Linked DNA regions of Drosophila melanogaster. The gene in region 1 interacts genetically with each later gene. Each region holds a gene or a part of one and is shown in the gene's direction. Other genes may lie near its edges.

The links.
Region 2: of mirr (region 1) and Pax, changing one suppresses a phenotype caused by changing the other (phenotypic suppression), as found in Drosophila melanogaster (one study listed by BioGRID).
Region 3: of mirr (region 1) and cic, changing one suppresses a phenotype caused by changing the other (phenotypic suppression), as found in Drosophila melanogaster (one study listed by BioGRID).
Region 4: of mirr (region 1) and caz, changing one suppresses a phenotype caused by changing the other (phenotypic suppression), as found in Drosophila melanogaster (one study listed by BioGRID).

Annotation. Positions count from the first base shown.
Region 1 is NT_037436.4:12,691,940-12,696,642, forward strand, and holds the start of mirr (mirror), read left to right. Parts: upstream 1-1,699; 5' UTR 1,700-2,372; coding exon 2,373-2,414; intron 2,415-4,560; coding exon 4,561-4,703.
Region 2 is NT_033779.5:19,420,540-19,425,440, reverse strand, and holds the start of Pax (paxillin), read left to right. Parts: upstream 1-1,888; 5' UTR 1,889-2,026; exon of another isoform or gene 2,027-2,162; intron 2,163-4,901.
Region 3 is NT_033777.3:20,251,149-20,255,794, forward strand, and holds the start of cic (capicua), read left to right. Parts: upstream 1-1,621; 5' UTR 1,622-2,705; intron 2,706-4,646. UniProt on the Drosophila melanogaster protein: Transcriptional repressor required for the specification of numerous cell types during embryonic development. Required for terminal patterning of early embryos.
Region 4 is NC_004354.4:16,286,814-16,294,043, forward strand, and holds caz (cabeza), read left to right. Parts: upstream 1-1,996; 5' UTR 1,997-2,137; coding exon 2,138-2,144; intron 2,145-2,213; coding exon 2,214-2,345; intron 2,346-2,412; coding exon 2,413-2,509; intron 2,510-4,243; coding exon 4,244-4,278; intron 4,279-5,127; coding exon 5,128-5,297; intron 5,298-5,381; coding exon 5,382-5,830; intron 5,831-6,072; coding exon 6,073-6,382; 3' UTR 6,383-6,707; downstream 6,708-7,230. Other genes in the region: CG32576 (uncharacterized protein), read right to left, coding at 345-426, 1,145-1,323, 1,412-1,503, 1,570-1,594; UQCR-14 (Ubiquinol-cytochrome c reductase 14 kDa subunit), read left to right, coding at 1-110; ERp44 (endoplasmic reticulum protein 44), read right to left, coding at 7,083-7,227. UniProt on the Drosophila melanogaster protein: May participate in a function common to the expression of most genes transcribed by RNA polymerase II.

The DNA of each region.
Region 1 (4,703 bases):
ATGCAGTGGCAGGGGCAGGAGCAGGGATAACCACCGATTGCCAGGAACGACAAAGTAGCTTTCAAATGTGCTCAGCACTCAGATACATATGTAGCACATAGACGCCATCCCGCTCTAGCAGCTGCCGTCACTCCTCTCGAGTGGCGTTTCAATTAATTAGAAAAAGTTAAAGAAACGCCACGGCAAAAACGAGAAGCGAAGTACGAAAATACAAAAAACAAAAAACAAAAAACAAATACCTACATAATAAAATGTAAGAGCGTATGTTGTAGCAGCAAAAGCAGCGACGGCAGCTGCGGTGGCGATTTTTGTTCTTCTCGTTTTTTCTTCTGATTTTTTTTTTTTCTTTTTTTGTTGGAGCAGCGCGAAAGATGCCACCAATCCAGCCAAAGAGCCAAAGCGGTCAAGAGGGGCGGTGCAGGGGGTTGGTTGCCAAAGGGATGGGGTAATGGGGGAGGAGGGGGTTTCTGGAGGGGAACGGCCGTAGCAGCGACTGCGGCAGAGGCGGATGATAAAACATTACCCATCGCGTTTGGCCCAACCTCTTCACGAGTCTCGTCGTTCATGTTCATCAGGCTTTTCTTTTTTCATCAACGGCGAAAAGCGAGAAGCGAGCGTAAACACTTTGCTTTCATACGTCGCGACATTCGTCTTGTTGTTGTTGTTGTTGTTGCGTTGTTTATGGCAACAACTACACGTAGCAACACCCACGGCAGCAGCAGCAGCAGCAACAGCAACTGCGGCAGCAGCAGCAAGTAGCAGCGTTGCAACAGCAACAGCAGCAGCAACAACAGCAGCAACATCATCGCCGACAACAACAGCAACAACATCGCCTACAAATACATACATCGGCATTTACAACAACACGCAATAACAGCCATTTTTCTAGTTGTTAAGTTAATTTTTTCATGTTCTGCCGCTCTCGGTGTTGCTGCTGCTGCTGCTGCTTCTTGTCGCCGCTGCTGCTGCTGCTGCTGCTATGCCATCTCGCTCGCACGCCAGCAAGACGACAGCCAACGCGAGCAAGTTGCGATACTACCGCTGTCGCTGCCGCTTGGTTGCGATTCGTGGCCAACGGCGCAGCGGCTATAGCCATCCCGCTCTCGCCCGGCCGCAGCTGGCAGATACTTTATTTATGGTCACACAGGCGGTAGATACTTTTTTTGTTGCCCCCACCCCTCCACCTAACCAACTGGTTTGCTGCGTCTCGCTCGCACTTGCAGCGAGATTGGTGGCTACGTTTCGGTAGGGGGTTGAGGGGTATCTACCGTAGCATACCGATTCCGATGCCGATTCCAATCCCAATCCCCTGAGTGCCACACACAGCCGGAGCGCCAGCCCACTTATAATGATAATCATTATTGCCGTTGTTGCCGTTCGTGTTGTCGTCGTGCCGCCTCGTTTGCTACTTTTTCCAGCGCACACAGATACTTTTCGCACGCACACCAGCGCACAGATACTTGGCCGCTCTCAAAAAGAGCAAAGAGAGCGCACGCACACCAGCGAAGGTGCGAGTAAAAATTAAGGGGAGAAACCCGTTTGTGCGCTCTCTCGCTCACACATACAAACGCGGCGCGGGCTATGTATCGATGTGGTGGTGCGTGGGCCTGTTCTTGTTGTTGCGCTGCGCTGTTTTTCGATTGTCGGTTGTCGTGTAATTCCCATTTGTCGTACACTTTGTAGTTGCTCAAGAAACTCATGTTAGTCTACTTTTGACTGTTACGCAGATTGTTCGTATCGTTCGTGTCCGCCGCAGTGCCAGTGCCGCAGTGTGAATAATAGTGCTCTCTGCCCGCCGCTCGCCGTCGTTCTGCGAGCTGGATTCAAATTCAGTACCCAGATTCAGAAACAGAATCAGATTCACACCCAGATACTACTATTTGCTGCCGCCGCCTCTGGTTCATTCGTGCTTCGTTTTCGCATCCTCCGGATAGAGCTGCTCCTCCCGAATACCGATTCTACCAATTCTACAAATTTAAACGACTCACATAAACGATTCCCGTCGAGCCGCCCGTCGGATTTTACGGATTTACGGTGCCCAGTAGCGCCTGTGTTGGCCAGCTAACTCGAGTTGGCCAGCTCCTTGCAGCCGTCGGCAAGTGCAACGCAGTGCAACGAAACGAATAACAAAAAAAAATAAACACAGCCCAAAGAAAGTAAACACTGAAATAGCTCGCAAGCCGGATCCAAAATCAACATAAAAACTAGTTCGGATCAATCACAAGATCACAGATCGCACAATCACAATCACTTCACTCGGATTATAAATCTATCTAAATACACATACGTCGGTTCAGTGCGCGAGTCCATCGGTGCATCGTAACTCTAAGATTTGCTTTATAGTTTTAGTTAAAAGCAAAAATTAATATTAAATGACAGTGCACAGTAATGAAACCGGTATCTGTTTAGTAATGGTGCGTATATCAATTTGTTTTTTTTCCCCCATTTTTTATTACTTGTAAGATGGTTCAGTTAATCGCTGCATTTTAGCTTGTCTGGCATTTGGATAGTGGCAATTAGATTGAAAACCCGTTCAGCTACGAGGCAAATCAGTGCAACACATGTAGATAAAAGCAGAAACAGTGGGATTACTCTGGGTTCGAATACCTTAGCATTTTGATTTGGCAAACGGAAGACATGGATTTAAAAATAAAACAGATTGAAAATGTCAGGACCACAAGTGTGCTACATTGGGCGAACAACACGCGAAAAACCGTCTGCCAATTCGGAAAATCTCTCTTATGCATCAATGTCTCTTTGGTTGTTAACCAAGCTGGCAAGGTCACCGCACATCGTGCTCAGTCACACTTGAGTGTCCAATAGGATTTTAGCCATAATAATCCCTCAGTGGTAACACGATCCCCAGTTAATATGGTATCCCTGTTCCAAAAATTTAATCGCTTGCACTCGACACTCGAGCATATTCATATATTTTCATATATGTATGTAAAAGCAACTTGTGGCGCAAAGTCGAAAGCTGAAACGGAATATCGGAAATATTAAATGCTCTTTAAACAAACATGAATGGCTGTCACTCTACCCTCGCCATCATAATGGCTACCCGAAAATAATTTACTTTAGCCGCAAAACGACCACTTCGAGTTGAGATATTTGTTGTGTTATAGTTATAGCCTGTAGCCATAGATAGTCGATAATCATCGGCGGTTGATTCAAAGAGCCGCATTGATAAGAAATCGTACGAGTGTATTGTGGATCCATCCAGCCATCCGGCAAACACCGGGAATTAATTTTTAATCGCATAGGGCCACTTGAGTTGTCACTTGATGAAAGCACGAGACGCAACACCGAACCGAATCCCAACTGCAACAGCAACATCAGCGACAACATTGTGGCGGTATCAATCACGACCGATGATACAACATGCAGCACTGTGACCGCCGGCCTGCGATAAAAATCGTATCTTACGCCTCGGATCATTTGTAAAATGTTAAACGGGAAGAGCGGCTCCAAGCCCCGAAGCCCCGAAGCCCCGGAGCCCCTGGAGCCCCAAAGCCCACAGCCCCAAGCCTCAAGAAGTGGAGAAGTTAACCAAGGAGGCAGCGATAAACAAACCTGAAACTTGTTTTCCTTACCCCATGTCGCATGTGTGCGAATGTGTACGTTGCTCTTGTCCACTGAAGTTGTTGCAGTTGTTGCTCTTGCAGTTGTTTCAGTTGACTAAAAGTGTTGACAAAAGTGCGCGATAGGCTTATGTGCACACACAAACACACTATATACCATGCTATACCATACCATACCATACCATATAGAGGATCGATCCAGGCAGTCATTGGACAACTTACAATCAAATTGCTCTTAGGACGTTGTTGCAGCTTGTCGTTGTTGTTGCTGTTGCCGCTGTCGTCGTTGGCAGCAATCGGCTGTGTAATTTAAATCAATGTTGTCAATCGAAAACATGATTTGTTGGTAATGGCGGCCCCACTTTGAAGATCGCCGGATCGCAGGGGAAAGGGGTTTTCGGGAGTGGAGAGAGGAGAGAGCACAGTTTGTAGGGGGGGAAGAATCCATCGGTTGGGATCCCAGTTTTGTGGTTCTGAGGCTCTGCAGTTCTGAAGGGCCCGTGGACAGCCCACAACCCATCCCACTGAAGAGACGCTCTTATCGCACTGATAAGGGGCTACGTTTTTAATTAAGTTTTAGTGCCAGCTGGTAGCGCGGTACAGTAGACCGTCTATTGGGGCTTTTTATCCAGCGCAAGAAGCAGCGCCTTAATGGCCGCCATAAACTCGAGAAACGAATTGGAAAAGATCAAAGTCGGATAATCAATTTACTGAAATTAACTTCAAAGATGAAGAACATTTTTCTAAAAAAGTTTCGTTTTAGAAAGAGGCCTTAAAACATTTTATTATAAGCTATCAAGGGATTAGTAGTGCAGTACTTAAATTTATAAATTTTATTTATTATTTTATTTCAAATTTGTTTACTTATTGTACAACATATTGTTCATAATCAACTTGGACAGCTATTTTTAGTACCAAACGCTTGTTAGCTCCGTTAAGCAAATGCACTCAACGTTGTTGTCTTCCACTTAACTTGCAGAATGCCGTTTCAACTCACCTTGCCACCTCGTCGCCCAACACGCCTCCAACCAACGCTCCGCAGAGTCCGCCCTCGACGCTGCCCACGCTCGCCTGTCCCGCCGCCCAGCCGCTGAGTGCACCGGGAATCGCCGGGCCAGGACA
Region 2 (4,901 bases), on another chromosome or scaffold:
AAAAGCATCGCGCTCAGCACTTCCAGTGTGAAATCATTTACAATTCTAGAAAGCAAGGAGGGTGTGGTTTCTTGCAGCCCCAAGTTCGAAACCCTTGTACTCATGTGAATGATCTGGTCTGAGAGAGGCAGCTTAATCAGCCGGGCTGTATTTGCTTTCTTCGCTGCCCCACAGTGCTCTTTTAGTCTCCATCAGCGAAATAAAAGTCTACATGTCGTCTCACTTTATTTTCTTTATGACACAATTCTTCGCTGTTTCGGAATGTCTTTTGATAAAAATATAAAAGTGAAGCAAAACGAAATCTGCAGCCGAGAGTTGTGTGTCCAGAAATTCTTAAGAAATGACTAAAGGCCAGGCCACTAACACTTATGAAGAATTCCAGCTGACTTGCCCTACACCTACGCACAGTGGTCTAAGAGCCCGCTAAAATTTGCTTATCGGCTGGGCTTGTAGGATTCTAGATCTTAAGAAACTTTCATATAGAGCTTTTGCAAAATCATGTTAAATAACAAATAATATTTCAGATCACTTTTTAGATTACAATAATATAATAATAACTATAATACTGAAATTCGTTCGAGATCTTAAAATCTCAGCATAAATATTCTGCCCTCGAAGCTTTACTTCGCACAGGAAGTAGAGGCTTCAGCTTCATCTCCAACTTCATCTTGATCTTCTCCAGCAACTCAGTTGCATCAATCTTGCTTTGCTGCCATTAGTGAGTGCGCGCCCACTTCATCGCCCACTCGACACGCAATGTCTTCTGTTCGTGTTGCGTGTGCGCACTGTAACAGCAAAGACGAGATGATCTGTCGAGATCGGTTAGGTCTGTCTGGGCATTGAGCGTCGATGGCGTTTTCCGCCGAGGGGAGCACTCCAACTGCAGAGCAATGATCGCTTATGGTTACGGGGAAAGGTTCGCACAGTGGGACGAAAGGTTAAAGAGTTTTTGAGATCCCATTTCTGCCTTTTCTGTGATCGTATCAATGTATATCACAGTGTTCATGGTCATGAAAGTATATAATTAGTTATCTTCTATGTTTGTCGATAAACAATTGTAAAGCCTAAGCAGCTGTTAAGTGATAAGCATTTCCAACATGACTGTCCCAGAGGAATTTTGTTTATACCAATTTTCACTGTCATTTTATGAAACATTTAATCTTGCGGATTGTCTGTACAATTGAAGATAGTTTCAGAAATGTTTTGATATTGGATGCCTTTGACTCACGTTTTCGTTTATTCGTCAGCAACGAAGGGGTTGGTTTTCTTGGCAGCTGGCCCACTGTTCACACACCCAAAGGAAAGCTCCAATCGGGCGACAATATTTTCGTCCGCTCTGGTTTCCTTTCGCTGTGCCTCCCACTTGCGGTCGAAATGCTCAGCCGCAGGCCGCAAGCCAAAATGAAAAGCCACTCCAAGTGAAAAGCTACGTGGTGGGGCTCTTTCTCTCTTTTAACTGGCTCTCTTGGCACTGAAAATAAAATACGACAATATGGACTCTGATTTAAAATACATTTTTTTTAAATTCGATTTTTCAAAATTAGTTTACTACTTGTTTACTAGTTTATTAGTTGTTTACTCAGAAACAACAATAATCATAATACTGGTTTCACAAGCTGTAACCGCTGATACATACTTTTTAAACATTCCTTTAGATATATATTACTTTAGATATAGCCCCTATTACGAAGCTAAGCTATCGTTTTGAATATACTATGCCTATCCATACATCCATACATCTATAAATCTAAGAAGATTTTTTCGCAGTGCAGTTTGTTTACCAGCTCTCAAACGCTTCGCTCTCTTGCTCCCCCGCTCTCCGTGAGCAGCTGCGAGAGAGCCGGAGCGCTCGTCTATTGGAGCCTCAGCATCGGGCCCCCCTTTGGATTTCAGTCGATTGCGACGCTTTTACTGAATCGCGAGCGCAGCGCGTGTGTTTTTCGGAGTCTCTCGATTGCGGTCTCCCAACGGCGTCCTACGATCTCTGGGATTAATATATAGAATATGTGACAACACACTGCCAAAGGTGCAGGCAAAAGTGCACAGATAACGCGATAGAATATACATATAAGAAACCAAGCCTAATCAAAACAAAAGGCAACGAAAAAGTGTTTAACGGCAAACTACGGCGGGAAAAAGTTGATGAAAATCAGTGGAATCGTGTTAGTGGCAGGTTGGAGCGTGGGAAATTGTTTACTTCGAGTGCAAGAACAGTTTGCAGTAAAAAAAAAAGTTGACAAACATCAAAAGATATCTAGCACTAAGATAAACGATAAAGCAGGAATGCCAGAAGCAGTTAGCTAAAAAAAATAATATAATATAATAAACTGGCCAAGATTTATGGATCCGTGTCACTCGCCTTAAGATTCCACTAACTCTTGGCAAATCTTTTCGGCGCGTTGCTCGCAAAACATTTCAATTTCATTAGCATTTCCACTAATTATGGAACTAATTATCAACGGACAAGACATTCGAATATATGACATATTTGCCCAGATCTGGCAGAGCATAGAATTTTGGTTAGCCCCATTAATTTTCGCCTCGGGGCCCCGAACGGATTAAGATCGTGGGTGTGTTGAGATGGAAATTAATTCGGTATTTCTGTGTTTTTCTGGAGGGAAATGACCGAAATAGCCAAACAAACATAACAACAGGCAGCAAAAGCAATTAAATTGTGCCCACTTAATCTATTAAAATTATGACATTTTTCACATATTTCAAGCAATCGAAGCCAAGTGCATTCTCACGAGTGGTGGTGGTAGTGCGATGGGGGGGGGGGGGACTTCCTTCCCCTTCCCCTCGTAAAAGTATCTCGAGTTACGACAGCAGATGGAAATGCTGGAGAATGATGTAAACTCGGCTGACATAGTGCGCACAAATGAATATTTTGTTGTTGGGGGGTTCTGCACTTACGAGAATCGCTTTCGTTTTCTCCCCAATATTTTGTATCTCGCAGATACGTTCAGTGGATGCCATTTGTTTACGACCAGACAGCTGCTGTCTTTGTCTCTCCGATTGTCTGTGCGTTTTGAAACCTCTAACTAAGTATCTACAGATCACTCTGGATCTCTGGATTATTTGGGTTTAAAAGCTCGTTTTAAGCCCCAACTACTTAGCACCTCTGGATTCTCCATCATCGTAATTCATAGTGCAGTGAGTTCATCGCCAGGTTTGAGTTCGATTTTCGTTTGCTCAGCGAGTTGCTCTGTGTTTTGTTGTTGTTGTTCCTTGTTTCTGTTCTTTCAACTGGAAACAAGATTCTTATCGCCCAGCCATACAAATTCAATTAGAGTGTGTTGTTTCGATTGCTAGCGAAAGATGAGTGGCTTCGATAGATTTCGAAATCGTTAATTGTTAGCAGCGAGTTGATGTGCAATTAAAACATTGGGTTAGATTCATTGCTCACAAATATTTTGAAATAAATAAGTGCAATACTATTGAATTGTTTGCAATCGACAAATATAACCAATTAAGCTTCCATTGAGCCAATCAAAAGACATTGATATTTAATTCCAGAAAAGCCTTTTATCTGCTCAGTACGTAGGCCATTGGCCAATATAGGGTCTATATATCTTATCAAGACCCCAAAGGCCCCAAAAGTCAGTGGGCGATAGCTCGTCGCTTTTTCCCGAACCTATTACAGAAGTGGAATGTGAAAAGCACGCACAGTTTACAGCGGCATAAATTGGCCAAGTTTATTGAAAGGCCCGGCTAAAGGCCACTGAGCGGTGAAGAGAGATCGGTATCACCCACACAAATGAATTTCCCTGGGCTGATACCCACTTTTCCGTTTGGCCACGCATTGCGTTTTCACCTTAGCGCCTTCGGCAAGGTCAACACTCGCATTCACACACATTTTATCTACTTACTAATAAAATATTTATATTGAGATCGCTAGGAATTTCCTGCAAAATAAACACGAAATTGTGCCTTTGACTTTTGAATTTGACTTCGTAGAAGGAAGACCGAATCGAGAACAACAATTTCGGCCCGACGTCATTCCCAAATGGACTGAGTAATGCCTCAGGTGTGGAGGTAAATGGATTTGGACTTGACTATAGCCAAGACCTGGAAGGAAAGTGAGATTTTTATTTTCTTATTGCCCTTCCTTTTGGCAACGATCTGCGGAAATCTCTCGTATTTTCAATTAATTTCGCTCGATTTTCCCAGTTTAGCCTCCCTTTGTTAGACGACGAAACGTCGCCTTTGATTTGCTAGAAATGTTTTTTTTTTTTGTTTTTTTATTTTTCTTTTGGATATTTTTAGTTGGCGATCATTGGTGTTGACGTAATTTGGCAACCTTGATTCCCCGTTCCCTTCTCGATACTCGTATTTTTGGCCCGGCTCGCTTTGTGTTCGGTCGGTGAATTTATGTTTATTATTTTTTACCTTTTTCCAATGTGTCGTTATTTGTTTGGAACGAAAATCTAAAATGTGGCCTGCATGTTCATTTTGGTATTTTTATGCTTCCATAAATCTGTCTTTATAGACCGTTTGTTGGCTCAACTAAATCTACAGGCCATCGTAAATTGAGTTAGTTGCATAGATCATCTATTGAGATTCACCCACGCACATTGGGATTAGGAAGTCAGAGTAACTGGTCCGGACTTTTTGGTCTGATTTATCGCTCTTGTTGGTGTTTTTATGGATCTTTAGATACGGTTAGATTGATTTGCATCTTCAGTGATTACGCTATAAAGAACCATTTTTGACTTCTCTATCTTTTTGATCTTTAGATACGGAAGATTAAGGTGCATCTTAAGTAGAGTAATCACTTCAGATGAAGATCATTTGACTTGTTTGACAGTGGACTTTCATTGACTTAACTAAATATCTTTGTTTCGAGTATTGATTTAGGTAATTTATTTCTTAGGTTTGAAGCATGATGAACTGATGAACTG
Region 3 (4,646 bases), on another chromosome or scaffold:
TTTTCCAGCTCCACCAATTAATCAAATGAACCTAATACTTCGGGACCTGCGTATCTCAACTTGCACTTTTCAGCTCATTAAACTGGAAATGCTGCCTCTTCGTTGATGGAGCCAAAATTCGCTCCGAGAGTTTTCTGCTAATAAAAGTCCAAAGTTATGGCAATAATAGCAGCAGCAACAGAAGGTACAACAATTTGTTTTTTGCCGCTGTCGCGTGGGTGCAAACACATTTATATGTTTTCCCACGGTTAACACGACGTATGCGTAATTTATGTCGCTAGACGGCACCAGGTGCACGGATCACATAGCGCGGTTTTCATATTTCCAAAGTTCCGGCGCGAATTTGATGAATGTTTGCACTTTTTACGGCTCCTTCCATATGAGCGGTCTCATTTGAGGATAGTGCATTCATAAATTATCCACTCAAGAAAGTTGAGTTTAATGAGAAGTTTTTAAGCTCAAGCTCAAATGGAGCGGTACTTAAATTAAATGACTATTGTCACACTTAAAATTTGGCTTGCCAATCATTAGCTTTTATTTACTCTGGGGATTATTTTGAACAGCCTTCAACAATGTATTTTGGTTTATTAAATGTTTTAATAGTTGTGAAATTTTCTGGGATGCATATGCCTATGCATATTATGCATATTACGTATTCGTAAAAACTTTTGTTGATACACGTTTGTTTTTAAGTGTTACCTTACCTATTTAAGATTATATAAATCATCTACATTTACTTGGCTTTGATTTTAAAGTTTCCTAAATCTCGACGGAAGGAAAATCAAGACAGACGGAATATATATACCTTACAGTTTCGAAAACACTTTCTTCCACGCCTTTTATCAAATCAAGGACATCTCTCCAAATCTTAAGAACTAATCTCATATGTAACATTTAAACCAAACAGACCATCTTTAAGACCGACAGATGCCTTGATCTTTTTATAAATGCCACATTTCCTAGGAACTGTCCTATTCCATAAAATCGAAATATTAATAAAAAAGAAAGTAACATAAATTGTAAATAATACTATGCTAGTTTTTATTATAATCCAAACAACTGAACAACATTGGACTAAGTTACTACATGTAAATAATGCATTCAAAGAAGATTATCATAAACAACCTACACAGCCGAAGTTCCTGCACACAGTACTATATTATATAAGTAACTTAACTTAAACAATAAAACCTAAAAACAATAATAGCAATATTACACCCCTTTACTCTACAAGAAATGAATATAAATGTGGCAGATATTTTTCAGTGCTACCACAATTTCATAATTTTTAAGAACGTTGGGCATTGCCAGACTGAAGTGTAGAACTGTAGAGGTTCGTGTACTGACTAACTTAACGATAGATTGTACACAAGCCAGTTCATACAATCTTTGTATAAATTCGCAAACCATGCTAAAAGTAAATGTTAAGAAGCAATTACAATTTTTATTTATTTATATATCGCTCTATCACCGAAAAGTTACAACATTTGGTTGCACCCGCTCGCGGCGCCAGTGTAACCGTATCATTCGCCTTTGCCACGCAACTTGTAAGATTTTGCCCAATCCGGCCAACGGTCCCACTTTGGGGGTATTTTCTCAAATGGGGCAAATGGTCTCCAGCAGATTCTCACTTCATGCTCGGAATCGCACGGACGTGTCGCGGATGTCGGAAGGTGGAGCTCCTGTGAATTGCTCTTGTGCCCCGCGCACAAAACCCCAATAATAGCCAAATCGGGCAGCGCCTGCAGGCTTTTGTGTGAATAAAACGGTTTGTGGCGACATTTGTTCGATTTTTAGGTGTCGCAAATTAAATTCGTTTGCAAATACAAGGCACTTACGCACACAAACGCGAGCGCACGCACAAGTGTAGGTGTGAAAACAAGTGAAACAGAGAGCTGGGAAAACAAACTGGGCTGCATAGATACTGGCTAAATATTGGATTAAGCTCGTATAAAGATAATAATAACAACAACAATCAATCGAAAATGCGCGTGCGACAGAGAGGGTGCGAGTGTGAATGAGGAAAAGAGAGCGAGCGCAGCACGCACACAAACACTAACACGCTGACGTCGACGCGCTGTCTGTGCAGAGGAGCAGTGTTGCCAGCCCACAATACTGCTGCCCGAGAATCCCAATTAAATAATTAATAAGTTCGAATCAGAATTGGAGTATCTGAGGCAGGGCTTTTTGCTTTGCTTACTCCTTTTCCCCGATTCGGCTTATTGGCATTGGGCTCTGCTCTATGCTCTGAGTTGGCAACACTGGCCCCCAAATCGAGTGTGGGCAAGAGAGATAGAGAGACATAGAGAGCAATCGCGAGAGAGTCACATGCTAGGCGCTCATTTCAATTTTCCTCAATGAATGAACACTTTTCACGGTTTTCGGTTCGTCGGTTCGCGTTTTCCACAGTCGTGCGTTGTTTTGCTCGTGGAAAAGTTGTAAAGCCCAGCCAGCCATAATCCAACATTTTGTTTGCAGTGCATTTGCAGCGCGGGAGAGCGAGAACCAACGGCTTAGCGAGCAGTTAAATAATTTTTAAAGTGTTTGTGTTTTTAACGTGTAAAACCCGAAAAAGTCTATGCCTTTTGCATAACAAAAACAAGCCGAGCAAATAAAATAAAAGAGAAAAACAGCAATAAACACCCATACACGTAAACATATACGTACAGAGAGAAACGGACGCCTACGTCAATAAGCGAAAAACGGTAAGCGAAATTCTTTTACCCCATGTTGTATGTGCTTGCCAATTGGAAAATTTTGTATTTCCCTTCCCGCTTCCGTTCTCGCCATCTCACTTCCCCAGTCTCTCTCTCTCTCTCTCTTGTTCCCCCTCTTCCGGGCTTGCTCTTACACTTGCTTTTACGTTGTTGGCAAGCAGAGCTTCATTCATTTCCACAACTTGCACACATACACATACCAGCACACCCCCGCTCTCTGGGAATTAGAGAGTTGGCAAGAGAGCGGTGGGTCTCAGTGTGACCGTGTGTATTTGTTGTAGCTGGTCAGGCCACAAAATTTGTATTCAAGAAATTCTATTCATTTGTTAAATAAACCCTAAGCCTCAACATTTAAACATTTGCACATCATATTGTTCATAAAATACAAAAAAGTCGTAACAATAGCTCCTAGAATTAATATGTGCGTGTGTATGTATGCATTCTTTATCATTGATATGTTAAATGTGAAATGTTGAAATTCAAATTAAGCTCTGCCTTTTTGTAAACAAAAACAATGGGGTGAAAATCAGCTACTGAAATTAGCTAACCATTAAAGTTACTGGTTTTGGTGGATTTTATTAGGGAAATCATGATTAGTATATGAAAATTAGTGGACCACAAATGAGTTAATAAAATCATGGTGCACGGGAAACAATATTGCTGTATTAAGATGTTTTTTTTAAATTTTTTTATTGATAGAAAAACTGTCGTCAATCAAATCAATTTAATTTGAACACTGTACCAGCCTCTTTTGCTGTACATTGGTCCCACAGTTGCCAACTGAAGTTAACCGCCCCCACTCCCCTTCATCAAACACACACACAGACGCACTTGCACTCTGACTGGCTGGCCATCGATGTGTGTATGTAATTAGCAACAAAACTCTCGCTGGCAACTGCATCGCATGAGATTTGAGCGATGCGTTGCTTTTGTTATTGCTATTGTTGCGTCTGCCCGGACCAAATGCTCCCTCTCTTTCTCTAGTCGCTCTCTCCCACCCTCTCTACTGCCTAATTTACATTTGAATGTGCGTGAGCGCCCATTTGTTGATAATTATCAGCAAATTACTAGACGCACTTAGCAGCAGCAGCAGCAACAACAACAATGGGAGAAGTAATGCATACATACAGCGAGTTAGTACAGTGGTCACTATGAAACATAATACAGAGATTAATGCTTAATCGGAATTGAAATTTACACATTTAAGAATTAAAGTAATTCAGAAAAAACAAGGTAATATTCGAAAAAAAACATATTTGAAATGCCCTCTTTACAAAGTGCAAACGTATGCGTGTACAACAAAAAGGCGTGTTTCAACGACATTTATAATGCAGATTTCACTCCCCGTGCTGACCTTAAAAACAGTTTTTTGTTCTATTATTATTTTCTGTCATTCGCTCATACGGGTAGGTGGGGTTATTGAATTTTTAGAATAATTAATCAACCGCAAGAACTTTTGTTGCTAATTGGCAAGTCGTCGGTACAGAAATATAAACCCGTTGCTATGTCTACGATTTCGGTTTGTGCATATATATTGTACATATGTACATATGGGTATAGTATTAGTATGGCATGGCAAATCCAACTTTGGTGGCAAAAACTTAGTTATTCACTCACACGCACACACACAGCGAAAGAAACGCGCACGCCGATTGTTTATTAATTTTTTTTATTTGTACAAATTTGGTTTATCGTTAGCGGCAAATGTTTCTCTTTTCATTTTTATTATTAACTTCATTATTCGAGGCATGGCACGTTTTTCTTGCCTAGTTATTTTTTTGTTTCGATTTTTTATTACATCGCGTTGATGGTGTGTTTGAGTGTGTGTGTGCCTTTTATGGCCAGGACAATGAGCCAATTTTGGTATTGAAGCTAGTTTCTCAATTAGGCCAATGCACTGGTAGAAATTTCGACGCAGTTACTCCTAAA
Region 4 (7,230 bases), on another chromosome or scaffold:
CCAAGGAGCAGTGGACCAAGTACGAGGAGGACGTCAAGTATCTGGAACCCTACCTCAAGGAGGTCGTGAAGGAGCGCGAGGAGCGTGAGGACTGGGAAAAGATCCACTAAACGCGCCACTAAATCCCTCTACTTTGGACTTGTAAATGTTGAAATACATAGCTTAGATAAATACCAAAATTGGCTATGAAATCGAGTCTGCGTGGTCGTTTGGGAATGTGGACCCTTCAGTTTATTTCAATGGGCTTTCGCGTCAAGGCGAGATGAGCGCGTTAAGTGATCATGAGTATGGGCTATTTGCTATGTTATATTTTTTATTTTTTGTGAGGCTCCATGCTACCTTACCTTTTGTATAAATGGTAAATTAAACAGCGATCCTAAAACAGGCACTCGGCCTAGGAAATTAATGGCCACGGGGAAGAAGCCGCTGAAAATATAAAGAGAAGGACATTAATAAGTAATAAGTAAACGACAAATCACTAAAAGAAGTTACTTCCACTTGTATTGCCATCTTGCACGTTTCGAAGTTAAGTTAAATTCTTATATTCACTGAATATTTTCCCTACTTTGAATAGATTTCCATTCATTAATCCGATATATATGAAGCAGACCTTTTAACGTTCGTTAAAAGATATTTTAATGAATAAAAAGACCTACATATATTAGGGTAATTATTAAGTTGCACCTTTGGTCGTAACTTATGAAGAAGCATGCAATTGAAAAGGTAAAAGGAGAGAGGTATAGATAGGAAAAAATGTATAAAAGGACAGAACAGAACAAAACAGACAGAAACAGCGAATAGTTATAATGAAGGACATACTTTTTGCTTTCTTTAGCTCTGATCAAATGCTATAAAATCTGATCGAGCTTTTTTTGTAAGCGAATCTGAAGAATTATACTTGGTATTTGCTGTTAATGCCACAGCGTCAAATTGTCCCATCTACATGACTTGCAGTCTTTCAATTAAAATATAAAATATTTCTAAAGGATGTCATCTGACAGCAACTTTGACTGCCAAGCCCTGACTTGCGAATGGTGTATTAAGAGCGGGAAAGCGAAAAGACCATGTGGAGTGCGTAACCGGTTAGCCCCGCTCAAATGGTCTTAAACGAATCCGACTGGGACTTGGCCAGGGTGCTACGAACCTGAAGAGTGCGAAAAATCCATAGGATTCAATAATCATGCCGAAGATGGGGAATCCCAGCAGGACGATGACGATTCCCCCTAAGAAGGCCGTTGTGCCTTTGACTTTGTGCCGTTGGAAGAAAAAGCGCATCGTGCGCTCCACGCCAATGACGCAGGCCAGGCCCGATATGAATAGAATCTGCGGGAAAGAGGCGATTGCTATTATTATAGAGCTCGAAGGGTGTGCTATATGGGGCATATGGTGCATGTGCATGTGGGTAACGTACATTGCCAATGGCGAGCAGTCCTTTATCGAACAGCAGCAGCATGCCGAGAAACAAAAAGAAAATGCCAAAACCAGCCAAGCCGATGCCAATTTCTGCGGGAAGATTTCAATAGGCGGTTTAGTTGCGCTGATGGCTTTCGCATATTAATGGCTACTTACTCTGCAAATCTGATATTTCAATCATTTTGTATTTGGCTCTGCTTTAATTTGATTTCAGAAAAAATTAAATCCACGTAAACACCAATTCAATTTCAAAGCACAAACAGCTGATTTCGACTTTCATTCAAAGTTACGTGCTAACGACTGTAAACAATGTTTGCAGGGATGCAAGCGCTTTAGTGTTGTAAAGCGATCAAGCTGCCGATTAATTATTTAAAACCTCTTGGATTCAGTCCATTTGGATGCAAATAAATGATAAAATGTATTAAATAAAACTATTTTTACCATTTAATACGTATTTTCCCACAAATATAATATTCGGCATATTTGTGTTCCATTCCCACACATTTCAATGATATATAGATAGATATTTCGATAGGCGCTACAAGACCCACACATACCAGCCCCCTTCGACGCACATCCCTAATTAATTTTCACACGCCATTTTACAATAGAATTTGTGACGATCTGACGCTTTCTTCAATTCGAGCAATTTGTACGCAGCGAGTTATTGAAACTCCTGCAATTCTATTGATTAAAAAAAGACTTCACGCAACGTTTATTAAACATGGAACGTAAGTATAATTTTAACACGCGCATAAGTCGCAACGTGAATTGAAAACGATGAAATATGTGCACTCTAGGTGGCGGTTATGGTGGTGGTTCGGGACAGGGATATAATAATTTCGCTGTCCCCCCACCAAATTACCAGCAAATGCCAAATAAAACGGGTAACTACAACGAGCCACCTCCGAACTACGGCAAACAAGGCGGTGGTAAGGCGTGCATGCGAACTTTGTGTTGCGAGCAACACACCAATACTCACAAACTTATGTTTTTAAGGTTATGATTCCGGTTCCGGTCATCGTGGTTCTGGTGGCAGCGGCAACGGTGGCGGCGGCGGCGGATCATGGAACGACAGAGGAGGCAATTCCTACGGGTATGTTATCCACTTTTAGTATTTCGCTGCTGTTGAGTTACAGCGAGGCTATTTAGATCATGGGTAGTAGTCTTTCACGGAGGTTTTTTAAGTGTTATAAGAGAAGTGTACGCATATATAAATATTTACAAATCAATCCAGCCAAACCAATGAGAAAAGACACCGAGCCACTCCTTGAAACATGAAGCGTATTTTAAAGATATTATTGAAATGCAAGAGATGCACTGTGCTGCATCAGAGTGTGAAACTGCTTGAAGCTATTCCTGCAACTACGACTTGTTCCGACTGCTTAAAAACGCAGAAAACATAAAATTATAACAACAAAAAAAAACGTATCTCCCAATTTGGCAAATTATTATTTATCCGCATGACTGTATTTCATGTACGTTTGTTTTTTTTTCATCGAAAATCTGTGTAAAAATATTAGAAAATGGTATTTCAAAATGGTTTTGACGAGTCAAATGAGTATAATGGTAAAAAAAAAAACAGATGATGCCCTGGGGAAACAAATATCTGCAATGCATAAATAATACTGGTTATACTGAATAAGTAATAATAAGTAATACCACAGTCGTTGCAATCGGAATAATAATGGTCGCCTAATGAAATCTATGATGAATTTGTGATAATTGCATAGAGAATCGCGCACATGTTATTATTATCGTTTTAAACCATACACTATATCATCCATTCCTGCCTTAATACGATACAATGCTAGCATAAACATGTTCCAAAATGAACATTCAAAAAATGTGTGTGTTCCCAACAGGATGGTTATGAAAACCAGATCAAACATGACACAAGTGTAATCGAAGATATAAAGCTAAAAAGAATATAAAAAATATCAACCAGCAATCATAAAATTAAATAAATTGTGGCTCGAGACAAAAACAATAAACAATAAAAAAATTCGATATATTATTAATGCACAGTTCGGAGGAATTGGTATGGTTCTGAGACTCTAATCATCTTAAGGTATTTACGTATACAAAAATAATAACAAATTTTAATTATTAGCTATTAAGGTTATTACATATGTTTATACACATAAGAAAGCAATGATTTTGCGCCTAAGAGAGAGCTTACCTCTAACAATCTAAATGTAAGATAGTTTTAAGCAATTTGTTTTATATAGTTTCAATCTCATTGACCGTTTTTAAGGTATTTTTTTTGTTTGTGATTTTAACAACTACTAAACTACTAAACTTTTGAATTATTTATCATTTAAGCTTGTTTTATAGTAGTTAAGCAAGAATGTAGGTATGTAGGTAGTGTTGTGTGTTTAATAACGATGGTATTTTGCTGCGATATACCTACTACATACATAAGTGTATTTAACTGGGTCGAACTCCTTCCTTCCCTCTCATTTCTGTGAATTTGGTAAACAAATGCTTTTCCAATAGTAGACTAATGCAAACGTTAAGATTATGTGTATAAGAGTTAGGTGTATGTATGGCAAACAGTATGTACGTTGTCCTCCTTGGCAGTTTGATCAGTGACTGCCGCCGCACTTGGCTCTAATTTTGTGATGGAAAGCAACAAAACGGACATTCGCTGTTTGAACGTCGTCGTCACTGACCGAACTGTGCCGGGTGCTCTATAGATGGTATTAGATGCCATAAGATCGAACAAAGCAATACGTATTCTAACAAGGGATCCTAGGCGTATACCTCACCATACTGCATTAAAACCAAAATCAAAGCATTAAATAAGTTATTCAATATCCTCTTTTAGAAATGGAGGCGCCAGCAAGGACAGCTACAACAAAGGTAAAAATAATGCAAACAATTGCAAACATATCGAGTAATGTATACCAATATTTTTCTACATATTGAACTTGAATCTAAAATCGAAGTAGAACAACAAAATTTTAAACACAAAAAAGAAAACCCAAACCGATTAGAACATAAAAACAGAGTCTAATTCCAAACCAAAAGAGTAAATAATTGAATATGCATATTAAACAAACATCCTCCTTTCCTGGCGGCATTCTTTTCATTGTGGGGCCTTGCCCATTTGAAATTTCGTCGAAAAGTCCACGCATCGTTACCTATAAAGTGTATTTAGCGTACTTTTCCAAATCGTTGATCTCTGTTTGATCAATATATAATGGTTAACGACCGACTCGGTCAGCCCACGGGTATTTAGTATTTAATTTCTGTAAAGTGTTGTATACATGTGTCAAAGCGTTGTCACGAATCAAATCAAGGGTTGGTCGGTCGGGCTAACTCCTGGCAATTTGGGGTCACCTGTTTGTGTTCTTGTGTACCAGTCAGTCTGGCTTTGATAGCTCAAAAGCCGACCGAAACCCGTTCAAAGTGTCCCCATGTCGTCTCTCCCACGGTCGTCCACCCACTAAAGGTTTTTTGAAATACACCTCAAAATTCTGGTTTCACATCTAAGTGTCCTGGTTAAAATGTCACGGAACAGCCGTCTACTTTGGTCCTCACCTTCGTTGCATTTTTTGGTGGTTGCAGTGAGGCGAGAAGTTCTAAGAAAAAAACAAAACAAAAAAAAGAAAATGAAAAAACCAAATATTAATTAAATAAAGTAGCAGTTGCATTCTAAGCTATACCCTGCCGTGCCAGCTCGTCCTTATTTCCCATTCGCTTTTGTAGGACACGGAGGATACTCGGGCGGCGGCGGTGGTGGTGGAGGAGGCGGCGGCGGTGGGTCCGGTGGCAACGACATGATCACCCAGGAGGACACCATCTTTGTCTCCGGCATGGATCCCTCGACCACCGAGCAGGACATTGAGACACACTTTGGAGCAATTGGCATCATCAAGGCAAGTAGTAATGTATTTTATGTATCTGTAGCTACGTTTTAACCTTTGTATCTTTCTATTCCTTTGCAACTGATCTAACAACAGAAAGACAAGCGTACAATGAAGCCCAAGATTTGGCTGTACAAGAACAAGGAGACCGGCGCCTCCAAGGGAGAGGCCACTGTCACCTACGACGACACCAATGCTGCACAATCCGCCATTGAATGGTTCGATGGACGCGACTTCAACGGCAATGCGATCAAGGTGTCGCTGGCCCAGCGCCAGAACAACTGGAACAAGGGCGGAGGCGGCGGCGGCGGTGGTGGTGGTCGCGGAGGATTTGGCGGACGTCGCGGTGGTGGTGGCGGCGGAGGAGGTGGCGGCGGCGGTGGAGGTCGCTTCGATCGCGGAGGAGGCGGTGGCGGCGGACGCTACGATCGCGGAGGAGGCGGTGGTGGTGGCGGCGGCGGTGGCAACGTGCAGCCCCGTGATGGTGACTGGAAATGCAACAGCTGTAATAACACCAACTTTGCCTGGCGCAACGAATGCAATAGGTGAGTTGAGAGTTGAGATATAATTGCTTTCAACATTCCATTCCATCATAATTCCTAAAACTCCACACTTGCTTGTAAATATCGTGGAGAACCCAAAGTGTAGACGAAAAACTTATCAGTGTTTGAAAGCAAGCAATTTTTGCTGATACGCCACATAATTGCCATAAGTCTTTATCTTTGGGGAACTACAAATTTTACAATCTTTGGCTTGCTACGATAATAATAATCACGTCCATTTGCAGATGTAAGACTCCCAAGGGCGACGACGAGGGCTCTAGCGGAGGTGGTGGAGGCGGCGGCTACGGCGGCGGTGGTGGCGGAGGAGGCTACGACCGAGGAAATGATCGTGGATCCGGCGGCGGTGGATATCACAACAGAGATCGCGGTGGCAACTCGCAGGGAGGCGGAGGCGGCGGCGGCGGTGGTGGTGGCTACTCCCGCTTCAATGACAACAATGGCGGAGGACGCGGTGGCCGTGGAGGTGGTGGCGGCAATCGCCGCGATGGTGGACCGATGAGAAACGATGGAGGCATGCGCTCGAGACCATATTAAGCGCATGGTAGCCAGCCGAACGCGGCACCTATTTTTTTCACTTTTACTTATTAATTGTAGCGAGAGTACGCTTTTAAATGTACTTTTAAAATTAACAGTCAGAGCAACTTTTAAATGATAATTGCCAGCACACGACTTCATTTGAACCGATTTTTATCCCAACACACACACGGTTATCGCTCGTTTTGACTGAATTATATTATATAATTATGTAATCTAATTTAACAACTGTAACTGTAACATGGTACATACGAATAAACATATATATATGTATACATATATAGCTCATATATATGTGTATATATATATATATATAGAGAAAATCAAAATCACTGCTTTGAATTCGGAAGTTGACATCATTCATTTCCAGCTTAGCTGACTAAGAAGGGGATTCCAAAGAATTCAATAAGTTCGCCTCGCCGAAATCTCCAGCGTAATTTTTAACAACAAAACGAGGAAAACTTGAAAAGTGACGCGTGCAATTTGTGGATAATTCAGCAACTGTTTCTTTTTGCAATAACAAAGGTGGTTAAATCCAGACTTTTTATTTTTAGAATTGCATTGAAGAGAATTGAGGCTGCTGCGCCCGCTATTTGCATGGATAACCGCTCACCTGCTGATCTGCTTTCAGAGAAGGTTGCTCATTATTACATTTTTGTATTATTTTCTTTTATTTTCAATATACATTATTATTATTATATTACAGTTCATCTTTTTCTAGCAGGGTGTAGCGATGCTTGGATGGGCCAAGTTCCTTGAATTTGGACTCTGGTGGCGATGTACCCTTGCCAGTGTGTGGGTCAGGTTCAATATCATTTGAGGGATCCGGCCCGTAATGAAATTCCCTG